Linked DNA regions of Coturnix japonica. The protein of the gene in region 1 interacts with the protein of each later gene in a biochemical or structural test. Links are inferred from orthologs where the notes say so. Each region holds a gene or a part of one and is shown on either strand. Other genes may lie near its edges.

What was found.
Region 2: the proteins of HIF1A (region 1) and FHL2 form a complex in vitro, tested with the Homo sapiens proteins (2 studies listed by BioGRID). The link is inferred for Coturnix japonica from reciprocal best matches to the Homo sapiens genes HIF1A and FHL2.

The regions. Positions count from the first base shown.
Region 1 is NC_029520.1:49,074,546-49,078,193, forward strand, and holds part of HIF1A (hypoxia-inducible factor 1-alpha), read right to left. Parts: exon of another isoform or gene 3,003-3,648; coding exon 2,800-3,002; intron 1,644-2,799; exon of another isoform or gene 1,521-1,643; intron 1,515-1,520; coding exon 1,408-1,514; intron 1,222-1,407; coding exon 1,074-1,221; intron 819-1,073; exon of another isoform or gene 447-818; coding exon 226-446; intron 38-225; coding exon 1-37.
Region 2 is NC_029516.1:121,913,036-121,917,159, forward strand, and holds the start of FHL2 (four and a half LIM domains protein 2), read right to left. Parts: upstream 2,833-4,124; 5' UTR 2,706-2,832; intron 81-2,705; exon of another isoform or gene 1-80. UniProt on the Homo sapiens protein: May function as a molecular transmitter linking various signaling pathways to transcriptional regulation. Negatively regulates the transcriptional repressor E4F1 and may function in cell growth.

The sequences.
Region 1 (3,648 bases):
TACAAAGGAACTTCATCACATTGTTGTTCATCAGACTCTATAAAAATTAAAAGAGACCATCAACCTAAGTAACAAATACTGAGCGTGTCTACGGACCTCATTAAATTTTAAACAGTGGCTGAGAGATCACTAGGCAAGTGAAAGTGGGAAGTTATTTTCCAAAGTTTACTGCAAAATACCAAACTTTACTAATTAGCATGCTCTCCAATTTAAACACACACCCACCATTGCTGCTGAAATCTAGGGAGATAATCGTGTCTCCAGCAGCTGGAGCCAGCACAGTTAAAGCATCTGGTTCCTGCTTAAGTTTTTCAAAAAGGCTGTTGGTATCATCCAGGTCATCTTTGCTGAATATTTTGGTCATTTTCATTTCAGGAGACTCCACTGGTTTCAGCATACACTCCGTTTGTCCAAGGGAAAATATCAAGTCCTTCTGAACAATTCCACTGCCAGACAGAAAGGAAGATGATTAAAAACCAGCTAGAATTCAGCCCTCACGATTTTCTAAGTTGCCATGAAAGCATCAAGAAAGTAAGAAAAAGAAGTAAAACAAACTTCGGGGCTTTCCTTAAAAGTCTTCTACTTTTTTTAAATGAAGGTACTATATCTTGATGGATTGATACTGGTACGTTCACTAAAGCTGTGAAAAACTAACTTAGGACTATTCCACTGTCGCAGAAAAATACTTCAAGTCTGCCTTAAGTTTAAGGTTTCAGTAGAAAGAATTCAAAGGAAGAAAAAGATAAATGGATACCTCTGACTCCATCACTAGGAATTACCAGTGAGTATAACTGTTCTAGACTGTGGACAAAAATTAGGTAAGTGCCTACAATGCCCAAATTCTGTTTGCCTGCAGAGATCTCCCCACTGATATCTCTACAAAGTGATTGTCTTTTTTAATCCTAATCCTACGACTAGCAGCATTCTAAGTAAAAAGCTAATCAGTAGGAAAATCAGATAGCACTGCAGCATATTGAATAGGGACCGGATTCTTAGCAAGTCAAAGATGAATCTGACTCAGTCTTCCAAAAAAAATAAGTCATGACAAAAATAGCAATTCCTACTTAACTTACCTCAACACATAATTTACACATACTATGCACTGTGGCTGAGAGTTCTTAGTGTTGTATATAACAGTTGCTTGAGTTTCAACCCAGACGTAGCCACCTTGTTTAGCAAGCATTCTGTATTGTCCCGTTGTCACCTGCCCTTTCGTGAACACTAAAACCAGAATAGACATCAGCTTTAATTACAGGCAGAAAAAAATATATCCCTTTTCAAGCTAGGTATTCTCTGCAGATTCATATCTGCAATTAAAAGGAAAACCCTTGTTATTCTGTGGCTTTCCCTTGGCTCTCTATCTCACTTCTTGTACTTGAGAGCATTAAATACATCTTTTTCACTTACTGTCGTGGTGTGTTTTGGTCAGATGATCAGAATCCAGCGCATGATAGTACTCATAGATTGAACGACCCAGCAGTTCCTCTGGCTCATATCCCATCAACTCTGTAATTCTTTAGAACAAGAGAAAATTTGCTGAGCAGACACTGAGCAACAGAAATACAAGAGCATATGGATGCCTGTAGATCCACAGAGAACTTAAGAATCTCTTCCACGAACATTACCAGCAATGATGGTTTAGTGTGAGTATGCTTTTTTTTTTCCTAATGCTCCTTTAATAAGATACAAGACATTTCAGCAGCCATAGGATTTTACTTCTCATTGAATATTTATAAAGCATGTCCTGTGATGGACAGGATTAAGTAAATCCCTGCTTTTTAGACGTTATTGCTTCAAAGTAGACAAGCTACTTACAGACTAGAATATCCAGCTTACACAAATGAGAATATAATAAAATAAAGACATGCTTTAACAGTTTTAACCATGCAACTAAAACAAATTATTAATGAGATTTATTCTCTTCACTGTTGGCTTTCAAAGTATTTTCTACAGCCCCTAGAGGGCAGCGCTAACTAGGAAAAAGCACCAGGCCCTGCTTTATGCACAACATCACCAAATTCACATGTTTTACATACCACCAGCAGCCTAAGAAAGGTAAAGCTACTGCACGGGGCAGAAAGTGACCTATACTAACGTACTTTTGTATCTAACTGCAGTAACTGATTAGAAATTCGTTTTTACATTAAAGAAAAAAAGGAAGGTCTTAGCAGTAATAAATAGAACCCATAAAAAAAAAAAGGCCAGTGATTTCCTTCCTGTCTGTTTTTTCAGATTTATCAAGCATGAGCTTCCAAAGAGTAGTAAGATGAGTATGTATTAGACTACATCACTGACATACCATAATACAAAATCTTGTTTTCTACTACAGATGTGTTGCATTAAAAGTAGAACAAAGCTTTACTTTTTTTCCTGACTGGAAAAAGCAGATGCTGATCTGACAAAAAAAAAAAAAAGCAGCACAACATGCCTGACAGATATTATGTATGTACTCTTTTTGGTCTATAAACTGCACCACCATCTCCAGCAATCCCTTCCATTTTCTCAGCATCCAGAAAAATCTTCTCATTTCAATGTAATCATTACCACAACACTGTTCAAACTGGCCTTTAACTGAGGAATTACTCACTATTACCCTACACCTTCCTTACACTTAAGAGTTTGGTTTTTAATACGACATCCTGATCAGTCAGTACAAAAGCCAAAGCATCTCACTGACAACTCCATTTTTGCAGATAATTGAGCCTGTAAAAGCATGAGGCCCACATCAGCCAACACACACAACCCCTGCAAATCATTCCTTCACATGAATGCAGATTTTAAGAGCTGAATATATTTTACCTTTCATCACAATAGGAAAATTTCATATCAAGACTGTGACGACTGAGGAACGTCTTACTGTCCAAGGGGACCTCAATGTTCGATGGGTGAGGAATTGGTTCACATATCAACACCAAGCACGTCATGGGAGGCTTCTTGTAGCCACAGTGAGTTTGATTATTGCATGTGTCATATACACGTATGTGTCCAGTGCAGTGCAGTACCTGTGGGACAGTTAGACTTAAGAAGAGACCAGACTGCTTTCTGTCAGCCAACACAGATGCACTTCCATTGATGCACACAGAGTTAAGTGCTTCCCTCCCCACCTCTCTAGGCTCAGCGTTATCAACAGCAGGAACACAAGAGTGCATTTAAACTGATTGTTAAAATACAGACAGTTCTCGTCATCTTACATAGGCTGTTAGTACACTCTGCCAGCTCCTTCCTCTCATGTCTGCAGAAGCAATGCCAGAAGTTTCTGCATTCCTGTCAATGTCTTTGACAGCTAAACTCATTACACTGGTAAGCAATTGGCATCCTACTATGTCAACCTGAGAGTTACGCTAATAGTATCAGCCTCCCTTTTAGATCTGCAGAAGTGATGTTAGAAGACAAAATCAAGTGCATTCTTCAAACGATGAGAAGGTTTGCATTTTCTCATTTTCCCCTTTTAAAAACAGAAATCTGAACTAGAAATAGTTCACGTACAGCAAAGAAGTTGTTCTTTGATCAACAGTAACTAAGCTTAAGTTAAAAAGGATATTTTTAACTGTAATGCCACTTTATACAGTAAAAGGCTGCCTAAAGGAAGACATGAAAATGCATCCATCTCAGACACTTATCAGACAGGGCTCTTTTAGTCCCAGCTAT
Region 2 (4,124 bases), on another chromosome or scaffold:
AAGGAAGGGTTTGAATGAGTCTTCCCACTCCCAGCCTCCTGCCAGCTGCAATCAAAAGTCTGCATTGTTCTGATGGTTTGCTGTTTGGAAAGGAATAAGTAAAGATATTCACCCATTAATCATATATTAAAATGCTAGGTAAGAACAAAGTATTATTGTTGGAAAGACTGCCTTCAGCATGGGTTCGCTTTGGGAACAAGCTTTTGGCCTTTTTGTTTTATTTCACTTTTAAATTCAAATCTGGTGAAAAATCTGCACTCGTATGCATGTTCCTGCATTTTTTCAAGCTAAATATCTTGGGCTAGTGTTTAGAAAAAAACAACAAGCAACACTGATGTTTTGCTGCACATGATTGGAATGCTACTTTTGCTTTTCTTGTTTTGTTCTGTTTTGTTTTGTTTTTAAGGGGGAACACTGTCTGTGTAGCAACAACGATAATTTAACACTAAGAATCCAACCAGAATAGTTGTTTTATTCCTATTGTTTTAGTCTTAGACCTGAATGATAGGCAAAGAATTTGAGGACATGAAAATGTTATTTTCACACACAACTTCTTCGGTGCTCAATTTACTACACTCTGCACATCAGTTGAACATAACTGCAGGATCCTGGGAAAAAAATGGCCAAGGGGAGCAGCAAATCTGGCTAGGGTAGCTCCCAACATGTGCTGGTGGCCCACGCAGAGCCAATGTTGCAATCGTTGGTAGGAAGTGCTACCTTTGGTCTGTAGCCAATTTACAAAACTCATTTCATCAGCACTAGGGACAAGTAGATCAGAGCCGTGTATGGAACTGAGCAGGACAGACCATAAGTGCAGTAGAACATAGGGATGTGCAGAAGTATCAGCTGTGGTGTTTGAAGAAGTTAAGCCTTCCAAAGCATTCTTGAGGGGATAGTAAGCCTTTAGATAAGATAGACATGTGCAGACTATTTGGTATTTATCACTTTTTTTCTTTTATTTCTGATGAAATTATGTTCTGTTCTTCACATAAAAGATGGAACAAGCTTGTTCTTAAGCTCACTGTCTCAACACAGTCTACACTAATGGTCATCACCCCCTGCCAGAGGAAGCCTGGAGAGCACATCCCAGACAAGACAAGCTAAATGAGGTCAAACACACTGTCAGTGATATCCTACTCAGTGGAAGATGGAAACATGGGAGCAGACTGATAAGCCACATCTATGTCATGAATCAGAGAAGACCTCAGGGTACTCCCAGGTACTGCAACTCAATGATCTCTCTAGCCAGCTGAGCAAACATCAGCTTGGGCTCTCCCATTTGGGAGTGAGTCCCATCTATGTGGCTATTTTGGTAATTGTATTTTTGATACAAGAAGCATGTAATGGCACGGATATTCAGATTCTGGATTCAGAGCATTGCAGAGGGTATTGCATGTACTGCTGTAATGGGGGCAGAGACAGCCCTGAGACTGGATTCAACTTCTTCATGCTGATGTGTTCAGTCAACATTTGATGTGAAAATCCACGTCCCAGCTAAAGTCAGCAGATCTCCAGCAGTTTGGGATCAGCTAACGGCCTATCCTTTTGCCTTTTAAATCTCCACTTAGGGATTGAGGTCAATTCCTAGAGCTTTGAAGTGAGGTGACAATTTACATGAGCCTTAGGTTTGGCTCAACTGGGGTTGATAGGGGCCTGAGGTCCTGTCAAAGCCTACTGAACAATGGCTGCTCAGTATTTTGGAAAAATAAGCCACCACAAAATAACTCCTTTCATTTCATTTCCTAACACAATAAACAAATTCTAGCTTAAAATGTGATAGTTTTAGTTCTTGGACTAAAAGTAAATATCACCTTTGTATCACTCTTCATGGTCGCTGGATGAAAGAGATTTTCCTTATAAGGATTTTTATATTAAAAATGTGTGCACAAATTCATCCAAACACATATATGCGTACGCACAAACAATCTTATTTTTCCCAAGAGGTCTTCTTTTATTGGCTTCATTTGAAAATTAATGCTCTCATGAGATGAGGTTAAAAGTAATTTAATGTAACAATGGCCTGATAATTGGCATTTGGCAGTTATTGCTAATGCTATTTTATAGTCTGGTTCTGAAGAATTTGTGCTTTCATACGCAGACATGTTTTAGTGCTTTTCTTTCTTTTCCCTCTTCACACAGCTGCTGTAACCCATATCAAGCAATTGTTTAAACAAGAAATCAACAAGCATCGCTTGTGATTTGGCTTTCTTTCCTTGCAGGCTGTTAGGAAATGGTCTCAAAGAGGGAAAAAAATAAAATGTTCCTTCTGCCCTCTATTTTTCCCCACTTTCATAAAGAAGAAAATGCTGATGGAGAGGAAAAAAGAACACTAATCACACACTTTCCGCCTGAAGTCATTCAGTTTTCTATTCAAACCAGGAAAGTGTCTATAGTTAGACATGGTTGTATTCCTTGAGAACATGGAAACGACAGCATATTATTAGTGCAGAAACTAAAGAACAGCTGCTATTTAGCACCTGGTTCCCAACAACAGGCTGGAAATACAAAGTCAGATGCTCTGTATGTGCCCTGGCAACAAGGAACGAACAAACAACCGAAAATCCCCTTTTCTGGTAAGAAAGAAGCCCTCCCCTTGTGATATCTGCCCAAAGCCTTAAGAAACTTCCAGCCCCTGTTACAGAGGGAAGGTGAAAAGAAGAAAAGGGGCCAAAGGATGGTATAATCCAGACTGGTCACTGTCTTACCTTGCTGCAGCTCGGTGGTGCCTCTGTTTGTGAGAGCGCGAAGGATGGGAGCAAACACAGGGACTCGTGGCTTCATTGGATTACCCACACTATGTATTTAGTAATTAGACAGACATTTGTACTTCAGATGAGCTATAAATATAATATCTCCAGAGCCCCAGGCACCCAGAGGAGATAAGGACTGCAGTACCTCTGTGCCACCGGCCTTTTAAGGCATCACAGATATAGCAACACAAGGCCCCCAATGGAAAGGGCTGCTGTCCTCCTGACCTGCTCCATTTCAGAGTGCTGGATCTCAAAATACACTCACCTACTTTCAGGAGTTCCTGCGAGTGTTCCTCAGAACGCCAGAACTATTATATGATTTGATATTTTCACTGAGCTATAAGCAACTCTAACTTCTCCATCAGATTATTCCCCAAGGCTCTGGGATTAACAGAAATGCCAGCTGCTCTGTGGATGCGGTGAACTCCAACTCCCCTTCATCTGTTTGTCTGTCCATCCCAGGCATACAGCCTCACTGCAGGGTGGTCTGTCTGCCTCATTGTGCTCTATTTGATCCCAGGGGAAGACAGTGGCAGCACAAATCAGTGGTCACAAATCAGTGGGTATGGGCAGAGGCCTCAAAGCTCAGGAGCCTGCTTTCCCTGCTGGGCCCCTGCTCTCTGCAAGGGAGGTGTAGAGCAGAGGTGTAGGGGACACTCATACATATAAGGAGTGAGAGATTAGAGGTAAAAGAGAGGTCTTCCAGCAGATCCTGTGGGCACTGCCCTTCTGGCTGCAGAGATGAAACTGCCCAAACAAGGCTCAGTGCAGAATCAGGACTGCATCCTAGCTCTTTGCCCATAATGGATCCATCTCTATATTTTGATGTGTTTCTACAGAGCAAGATGCAGCACAGTTGTGGTCCTTGATCAGAATGTTGTACTATTTTAATTTGCTTTTTAGAAGAAGAAAAGGTAATCCTCTTCAACACACAGATGAAGAAAGAGCATTGGGCAACCTCTAGGTGCAGAAAAATGACTCTCCCTTACACGGCAACATATGTCTTAGAAGAAATACTACGCTTTTAAACTGAGATTATCTGTTGTTTCTTCTCCTGCCTGAAGCAGGATTATCTGCCATCAATCTCTCTGTTGGATTTATCTATTACTTCCACGGTCCCAAAGAATGCCCCGTTCTCTACATCCCCTTCTCCTCAAATTGTTGGTAGTTCAATAGTTTTTAGGAGGTCGTGTCACCTCCCAGTTCTTCTCTGAACACTTTGTTTGGTCAAGCTGTGGAGACTGGATACGGACACAAAATTTGTGCCAGGGTTTTTGACATGACAAATGGATTTATGGCTTGATTTGGAGCCCAGTCAGGTTTTATGGTTTTAGCGCCAAACCAATCAGAAGTAGGCATCTGAAGGGTTCATCC